Linked DNA regions of Macaca fascicularis. The main gene of each other region encodes a partner of the protein of the gene in region 2 in a complex. Links are inferred from orthologs where the notes say so. Each region holds a gene or a part of one and is shown on either strand. Other genes may lie near its edges.

Evidence for each region.
Region 1: the proteins of SPTLC2 (region 2) and ORMDL3 are in contact, whole or in part, in a cryo-EM structure (PDB 7K0O), measured with the Homo sapiens proteins. The link is inferred for Macaca fascicularis from reciprocal best matches to the Homo sapiens genes SPTLC2 and ORMDL3. Residues at the interface, in NP_004854.1 of Homo sapiens: Glu65, Thr66, Pro67, Met68, Ala71, Val72, Tyr75, Tyr86, Gln116, Phe118, Glu119, Asn120, Phe121, Tyr122, Tyr127, Trp134, Asp259, Glu260, Leu261, Asn262, Val267, Arg271, Ile279, Met320, Val495, Val496, Gly497, Phe498, Pro499, Ala500; in NP_001307730.1 of Homo sapiens: Met1, Asn2, Val3, Gly4, Thr5, Ala6, His7, Ser8, Pro12, Val16, Ser19, Arg20, Gly21, Ile22, Leu24, Ser25, Leu28, Phe63, Val67, Lys68, Gly69, Thr70, Pro71, Phe72, Glu73, Pro75, Gln77, Arg81.

What each region holds. Positions count from the first base shown.
Region 1 is NC_088390.1:60,986,694-60,991,225, forward strand, and holds the start of ORMDL3 (ORM1-like protein 3), read right to left. Parts: upstream 2,920-4,532; 5' UTR 2,817-2,919; coding exon 2,651-2,816; intron 2,609-2,650; exon of another isoform or gene 2,439-2,608; intron 1-2,438. UniProt on the Homo sapiens protein: Plays an essential role in the homeostatic regulation of sphingolipid de novo biosynthesis by modulating the activity of the serine palmitoyltransferase (SPT) in response to ceramide levels.
Region 2 is NC_088381.1:145,569,181-145,573,667, forward strand, and holds the start of SPTLC2 (serine palmitoyltransferase 2), read right to left. Parts: upstream 3,012-4,487; 5' UTR 2,805-3,011; coding exon 2,679-2,804; intron 1-2,678. UniProt on the Homo sapiens protein: Component of the serine palmitoyltransferase multisubunit enzyme (SPT) that catalyzes the initial and rate-limiting step in sphingolipid biosynthesis by condensing L-serine and activated acyl-CoA (most commonly palmitoyl-CoA) to form long-chain bases.

The DNA.
Region 1 (4,532 bases), on a different chromosome or scaffold from region 2:
AAGCATGGAAGGTGGAGAAAGTCCATGTGGACTTAGCTCTACTCATTTCCTGCTGCTGGGCTGGGATAAACAGCAGGCTGCCCCACGCATTATCCCATTGGGACAGGGCCCTGGCAGGGCATTGGAGGACAGGTCATCAAGAGGCATGCAGCCCAGAGCAGAGAAGTCAAGGCCCATCCCCCAGCCTCACCCCCTATGGCACTCCCATGAGGACCCTCTGCCGACAAAGCCCCAGAGACAGAATTCTCACTCAGCACAACCCCTGCTGGACTGTGTCTCACTGAGGGCCTGATGTGGGACATCCACTCTTAAGCCCTTCCCATCAGGAGGGAAAGAAGTGAGGCCTGTGGGTACAGGCAGCAGTGGACGAACTATTTTGAGGTCACTGCATCCACTCACCTCCTCTAATTTTTTCAATTCTGGATCTCCCCAAACCCCAACTTAGGAGGACTGATCAGGTACAAAGAGGGAAGTGGGGAGGGAGGAAGATAGAAGAAAACAACAGACTAGCGACAACCTTTGCCCGGACCTGGAAGGCACCCCTCCTGGGTGACACAAAATAACCCATCTGGATGTCTTCTCCATTTGGCAGCCACTCAGGCCAACCCTTGTGCTGCCACCCACTCCGCTGCCAAACCACCAGGGTCCTTTTCCCCACAAGAGAGGCGAGGATAGAGAATGTGGCCAACACCTATAACTCCCACAGAGCGCTGGAACCCACATCAACATATGTCTCCCAAGGGCACAGACTCGAACCTGTGGTCTTCCTCCTGGCCCCGTTCTTCTCTGTCCTGCCCATCCTCACCTCAGCCTCCCCTCTCAGCACCTGTTTCCAGGTGTACATTAGCACCATGCCTTCCCCTGCCCAGCACCAACGGTGGGAGTCCTGCAGCAGGAGGAGCCAGGAGGTGGCCGCAACCCACAGTGAGCAGAGGGAAGTAGAGAAGGAAGGGGTGGAATGATCTGCCCCTTGTCCAGAGCTTGGCTGTCCCCAGATCCCTGAGGGCCCTGTGACCAGGAGAAAGCGGAGACGGATGGCACCTGTGTACTGGCTCACCTCCCTATCTGAGGTAGGGTCCTGCTTGCTAAAGACCATAAGATCATCACCATGTTAACAGCCCCATCTTTCCTGGGAATGCAGAGAAGACTCCCAGATAGAGATATTCTAGAAGTACCCGGAAGGCCACCTGTCTCACGCCCCTGCAGCAACCCCCTCAGACCCACATGCTATCTACTTCTGACTAGGAACTAGCCAAACCTGCACAGGAGCCTGAATCCTCAGGGGCCAGTTCTTTACTTCCAGGATAAGAGGAGCAAGTTTCCTCTTCTCAGACAGCTCCAAGCTTAGAGACCTCAGGGCAAACGTGACCCACAACACACCATCCCAACAAGCAAACACCTGTGCGCCAGCCTGGGGCGCACTCTGATTGCAGTGATGCTCCTGGGACCCATCAGTGCAGCCCATGAGGCTGGATAATGGAGCCTAACAGAAATCCTAGCATCTAGAAAGCCAGAGCTGGCTCCCACTGTTTATCTTCCCAGGGCCTTGGGGCTTCAGCTACTCTAGCAGCCCCTGGGACAGCTACTACGCAAAAGCCTCCACCTGAGACGAGAGGGTGGCATGTGGCTGAGAAGTGAGGGCTCTGAAGGACTTACCTCTAAGGAGAGGGAAACAGCGTCCCAAGTCTGACCTGAAACCGCCACCCCATCACCTCTCTGTAACCCGCACCTACAGAGGTGCTGGTGTAGAAAGCCCACTAACCCTTCCTAGTAGTTGTCCAAGAGTGCCAAAAGCCTCGTGGAATCCCAGACCACAGGACCCCATACCCCTTTCTGGCTTTCACAGGGCAGCCAACAAAACTCGATGAGCCTAGGAAAAGACTAGACCTGGGTCCCAGCCGACACCCCCGAAAGCTTCTTCCTGAAGCCTAAACACTAGGTACCCTGAGAGCAGGAAACCACCAGACACCCCTGAAAAAGAAGAGATCAATAAACTAACAAAAAGACTGGCAGCCAGGAAACACTCTTGAGACTTTCGTGTGACTACAGGCACATATCACTTCCATTAGTAAACCAACCAACCGACCCCTCCCCTAGATGGGGAGAAACAGAGAGAAGAGGCTGGCACAGGTCGACTAGGTCTACAGGAGCTGAGCTAAAATCTTCTGCTGCCACAGCTGGCAGGTGGCTGCTTAGTGCCGGGCCCTGATGTGGTTTCATAACCTGCCTCAAACCAGAGCCTGCAGCAACTCTGTTCTGTTAACCACTTTTTTGCTGGTAGCTCTTTCCCCCTTCTTCCCTCCCCACCCGCTTGGCTCCACGCACAAATATTCGGGCCCAGCCAGTATGCCAGACACTCAAGCCAAGGCTGAGCACCACCAGGGCAGCCACCAGGTGAGCCCTTCCCATTCCCTCCCCCAGGAAAGAGCAGCCCTCACAACAGCAAACCCCCTGTCTTGGAAGAGGAGCACAAAACATCCGGGCCTGGATGGGGACCCCAAAGGGGAGTCCGCGGCAGCACGTCACGATGCCACTTCCATTCCGCCCACCCCCCAAGCTGCAGGACCACGGCTGATCACATCTCAACTTTGGCCCAGCCACCCCGACTGGGGGAGGGCGGTGGGAGCGGAAAGCGAGTGCCCAGGCGAACCCGCAGTAAGCAGAGGAGAGGAGGAGCGAAGAGGCGGAGTCCTCACTGTTGTTGGGGTTTTCTGAGTGAGACCTCGGGCGCGGGGCCGGGGGGAGGGGTCCCGCTCTGTTGCCCAGTCTGGGTCCTGGCACTCGGAACCCGGCCAGGTCCGGGACCCCACAGCCATCTCCACGCGTTCACCCAGCCCTGGAAGCAGCCAAACGTTTATCCCAGAAGCCCAGCCGCTCCCCGCCTCCCACCCCTAGCCGAGGCGCTCCTCCCGACGTTCCAACCCCGGCCTCCAGCTCGCACTTTATTCCTTGGCCACCTCCCCAGCCGCTGCACCCCCTCGGCTGATGCACTCCCTCCACCCCCCACTCTCTCTGCCCCCGTCTATCCAGCCCGGGGCGCCTCCCCAGCAGCTCCTACCTTCTCTCCCGCCCCTCCCCTAGCCCTGGGGCCTCCTGGTTCCGTCTGGGCTCACCGTGCGGGGCCGGATATCGAGGGCCCGGGAACGGTTCCCGGGAGCGGGGTCCGCTGCTGCTCCAGCAGCTGTAACAACCCGCGGCGGCAGCCTCCCCGCTGGCAGCTCCGGCCGAATCAGCGCTCCGCGCCGGCCCCCGCGACGTCACCGCCCCGCGCCGGCACGCCCGACGCCTCCTGGGAGTTGTAGTTTCCTCTGCTGGTTCCTGGCCGGCCCGCCCGACGCTCCTGGGAGTTGTAGTTTTTCCTGGGCTCCGTTCCCGGACTCTCCGGGGACGCGCGGTTGGAAGTTGCACCGTGACGTGGTCAGATCGGATGATAGAATTTTGGTGCGTAACAATTCCAACTTTTGCTCCTGTGCCCTTCAAGTGTATTTTATCTGTGCCCCAGTTTTGCAGATGAGGAGACTCGGACTTGTAAGTAACTTGCTGTAGGTCTTTGCTGGGTCCCAGACTGGATCGAAACCCAGATATTCTGACCCCAAGTACAGGGTTTTTCCACTGCACCTGGCTGCCTCCGCCCCGGCCCCAGATTGGCTCCTCCAGAAACAGACTAGCCTGGCCCTTTGCCCTGCTGGGCCCTCCTGGGAGCGCGTTTTTCACAACATTGGCTGGGGTGAGGGTCTGGAGGGCCCAGAACGGAGCCTGCCTTCTCCTTCTCAGTCACTCTTGGCCCAGGCTGCCCCGGACCGGGCCACTTCCTTGGCCTCCCTGCACCTGACGTGAGAAGAAGCCACGTATCATAGATTCCTTGATCAGTAGTAAGGAGCCTGAGTTTCTGTCTCAGGTCAGCTTGTGTGGCTTTGAATGAGAGGTTCTGGTCTACAGTTTTCACATCTGCATCGTCTAAAGGCAAGGGCACAGACTTTACTGCCTGGTAGACATAGGGCAGGCCCTCCTTTATTGGCAATGTGACCTTGGGCAAATTACTTGTCTTAATCTCCAATTCCACACCTGCGAAACCCCACCTCCAATGTTGTGGGAACCCAAAAAAATGTATGTAAAGCACCTGTTGCATTGTATGAATCTACTTAATATTACTTTAGGAGGTTGCTCTTGAGGTCTCCTCGGTGACTCCCATTCTCCATGTCACCAAGAGGCCTTGTCTGAGTAGTTTCAACTCCCTACCCAGCTTCTTTCTAAGTCCACTCTGTGCAGGGCAGGGCTGGAATATCAAGATCAGATGATGTCATGGCATGCCAACCTGACTCTGAATGGCAGTTCATGGCACCCTGAACTGAAAGTGAGGGAACATGAAGGAAAAGGCTAGCCCAGGGAAACTGGGGAGCACTTCACTCGGACTCCACCTACCCTTCCTTCCCCAGGGAGCTGCCGGGAAACAGTTGTCACACAGCTGGAGTGGGACCCCCAGAGACACTTGGTGGTCACCAGGCAGGTGGGTATTTGAACCACCCAGAGCA
Region 2 (4,487 bases):
ATTGTGAAAACTGTGTGTCTACTGTCATCACTAAACAGCAATGTCTGATTGTTTCATAACTCCTTAACACAGCATCTAGCTAATCAAATTCTAAACCCAAATCCAAGAGTTGTTCTTTTACTATATACATTCATTCATGCCTTCAAGCATAGAAACATACTCCAGAGTGTAAACTGATCTTAGACGTTTCTGACTTCTCTCCTGTTCATTAAAAGACATGGGAGATGGGAGGAAAATAATTTACATCTCAACCATCTTATACTCTAAATTCATATTCTAGTAAAAGCATGACACACAGCTGTTTGCGTATTTTTGATGGCACAGTTGGCAACATTTCCCTCAGAAAAATGGGAAAGACAGGTAGAGGTTGGAGCACAGGCACATCGCTTTAATTAAAATGAAAACAACTTTTAAAAAATGTTAAGATATTGTATAGCTCTCATGTAGTTACCAAGATCTCTCTTTTGTATAAAAAAAGAAAGAAAAAAATTCACAGACAATATTCCTCCATCTGAGAGTGTAGAAAGCTCCAGATCTGAAGTCTGTTTAAAAAATACTGGTGAGAAGTAAGTTTTCTAGAAGGGATACTGCAGCCCTCACAGCATTCCAACAGACCATTCTTTTAAATGCCACCAATGTGCCTTGAGTGAAACTTTTATAAAGCATGTCCCCAAAAGTCAACCAAATGTTATTTATACAGATTTTAAAATGTCATGTTAGTACCTTGATATTTATTCACCTTATTAGTTGACAAGCTCTGAAGAAATATCATTCTACAAATGCTAAATTGTTAGAGATTATGGGAGAAAGGTCCTTGATTTCCTACTAAATCAGAACATAACTCACAGGGATTGAAAGCAGCATTTTAACACAAAGCACCTCTGAAGGGTGAACACCTCTCTTGACTTCCTTTTTCATTAAAAAAAAAAAAAAAAAAAATCATACCTCGGCCGGGCGCGCCTGTAATCCCAGCACTTTCAGAGGCCAAGGCAGGCGGATCACCTGAGGTCAGGAGTTCCAGATCAGCCTGGCCAACATGGTCTCTACTAAAAATACAAAAATTAGCCGGGCGTGGTGACGGGCGCCTGTAATACCAGCTACTCGGGAGGCTGAGGCAGGAGAATCGCTGGAACCCACGGGGTGGAGGCTGCAGTGAACCGAGATCGCGCCACTGCACCCCAGCCTGGGCGACAAGAGCGAAATTCCATCTCAAAAAAAAAAAAAAAAAAAAATCATACCTCACTCATTCACCTACAATGTATTTTCTAACTCCTACCCGTTAAATTTCCCTATTACATTCTATATCACAACAATTTTGTCTTATAAGTCGTTTACATTGCTAGAAAAACAACAAACCATTCCACTGCTTATAATGAGCTCATTGTTATCACTTCCTCCCTCACACAATTATTTCTTTAAAAGTGAAAACAAATCTTTTGATCTGTGTATTACTTCGCTTTGACAACTTACAACTTCAGGGGAGGTCAAGTCTGTTTTACTTATTTTTCCCCTCAACTCTCAGTCTCAATATCTCACATGACCTGGAAAAATGCATTATTTTCTGCTTCACACCAAACAGTAACAGATCTATCCATCATAACTATTCATCTCGGGTGGAGCCTGCCAGATATTTCTGTTAAAGCCAAATGAAGATCACCATCCTATCACACTCCTGCTAAAGGGGAACAGGGTACTTTCTAAATGTTCCTGAGTATCTGTACAAGACTTAAACGTATTAAAGTCAACTGGAAATTATCCCAACACTCTCTTCCAGGAACACCGATCTTGCATCTTTTTAACCAGCTCATCTTTAAAAACACATTTCAACAGAATACTTGTCAGTCTAGAGCACTGTAAGGTTGATAATAAGCACTGTCTTGAATTTAGAACTTTTCAAAATATTTTAGAACTGCCTGAACTTGGTTGATGATTCAGCATGGTTAATTAGTACAGAGTCATCGCAAGTCACCACCAAGCTAAACAATCCCCTTGTGTGATAGCACTCGTGTTCAGAAAAGGGTCGAAAGGGCCACCCAATTCAATCTGGAGCCTGGGGTAGAGTCACACCACGGGCAGAGTTAAGAGAATAATGCTTTCGAGGGACCAGCTTGGATTCCCTGCCAGATCTACGGACCAATGTCCTGCTTGGGGAGCGAACGTGGTACTCCAGAATGTGGTTGGGAGAGGCTGGGTGTGTTTCCATCTGACACCACCGCCTAACTTTCTTTGCCTCTTAAGGACCCCATGGGTGGTTTTCTTTGGAAGGCTGCAGGACTTTAAGAAGAAGCAACAACCTCGGGGGTTTGAAGGGACCCTCGGGAGCCCTTGGGTGGCTCCCACTGGGGTCCGAGGGGTCCCTCATTGCTTCCCCTGGGGGTGGCATACACTTCTGGCAGGATGGGTCAGAGAAAGGTACCCGGGGCTCTGAGCAGAACCCAGAGCTCCGGGGGGAAGGGAGGAAGACCTCCAGGCGCGGGGACGTGGAGGAGCCCCCGAGTCGTCCTTGAGCCTCTATGCTCGTGGAGGTCGGGCCAGCGGCCGGACACTGCCGCCCACACCTGCGAGCGGCGCCCACCCGGCGGATTGCCCAGCGGATGGCCAGGAGACCTCGCCCTGCCCGGCCGCCCCTCCGCCAGCCCGCACCGCCACCCCGGCCCCGCCGCGCGGGCCCCTCGTACCTGGCTGGCGGCGGCTGCGGCTGCGGCGCTGGTCCTCACGTACCCGTTCCGTACTTCCCCGTTCGCCACGCAGCCATTCGCCCGCACCGTGCGGCGACAGCAGCAGCCTCCGGGCCCCGGCCGCATCTTCCTGGCAGCACCAGGCGCAAGGCAGGCTCTGTGGGCGGCGGCAGCGGCAGCAGCGGCGGCGGCTCCAAGTCCCGCTCCGCACCCCACCCACCTCCCCGAAACCGGAAATGGCTGCAGCGCCGCCGCCAATTCCCGGGCGGGCCTTCACAGAGGGCGGGGCGCTCTCCGCAGAGGACCGGGCTCGCCCAAGGCCACGCAGCGAAGGGAAAGAGCGGCAGGGACCGGCCGAAAGGGATGTGGTCCTGAAGACCGCTGACCTATCTGGAAGAGAAGGAGGCGGACCCCATGCTGCGCCTGGCCAATCACGGACGAGAGCAAAGCGCCTCGCCGGAGAGGGGGCTTCTCTAGAGGGATTCCAGGGCCTGGCACTTGATTGGAGGCCGCTTCCAGGTCCTGGGTAGGGCTTGCCTGTTTAATGGTCCAGACAGAGAAGGAGGCGGAGCCCAGGGAAAAGTAGCCAATTAGAGTGTGAGGAAAGAAAAGGGGCTGAGCCCAAGTCTCTAGAGCGGGTTCCCAGGTTCTCCAGGACAGGTGGCGCAGTCGGTTCCTTTGCCTCACGGGAAGTTCTGGGCTTTATGTCCTAGCCCAAGACCCGCAGCTCCCGTATTTAATTAGCTTATTCCTCTGTGAGTATTTACAGAATAGATTTTTTGACAATCTCTCACCATTCTTCAATATGCGCCACACATTGACTATTTCTGAATTATTATAAGTAATAATTCAGATGTCTTTTCACGTGCCCTTCACATTTGCCCTTGGCAGGGTTTTCCATACAGTCTCCTTTAAAGTCTTTCCTTCAAAGTTAGAAAACCTGGTCTAATTCCAGCTCTGCCCATAACTGGAAGCTAAAACTTGAGCACTGTATTTAACCACTTTAGAAGCCAAATTCTTTAAAACGGAGTTAATACTTCCTGCTTCCTAGACTTATTGCAAGAATTATATCATTAACCCATTATGCACCTCTTATAATACTTGACTCATAGTAGGAGTATAATAAATATTTTCTCACCCTTTTAGTTGCATCTTCCCATTGGGTTAGAAAGCAAAGAAATTGATCTACATTACAATTAGAGGCTTTCTGTTACCCATAAAGAATTTAGTGTCATAATTAAGAGGATGGACTCTGGAGTCGGTCTGGGTTTTAAATCCTAGCTGCGCTACTTACTAGCTGAGTGACCTCTATGTGTCTTCATCTGTTCAGTGGGGATAATAATAGTTGTCATGAAGATTGAATAAGTTTATGTATGTAATGTATTTTGTACAGGACCTAGCAATTAGTAAGCATTCATTAAGTGCTGGTTACTAGTAATTGCTAAATGCACCTATGAGAATCCGTGCATTCTTCCCCCACCCTGCAGGAGCTTTAGAAAGGAGGTCCACAAGGTATCGGTTTTGCATGACTTAGGAGCTGAATAATCTAACAGAAGGTGGGATCATGCATCCCACACACCCTATTTGAGTTGACAAACACTATTGATCCTAAAGTGAATATACGTCTGAGTGTATAAGGCTAAAAAAGAAGCATGTGGCTGTGCTTCATGGAGCTTACATTTCAGTGAGAGACAAGAAAACAACAGTTAAAGACCAACCTAGGGCTGGAGAGATTTGGCAACAGGAGTTCTGATGAGGGAAGCTGAATGGCAGTGATGAGTCTAACCATGTAGAAAGTTTTCAGAGCAG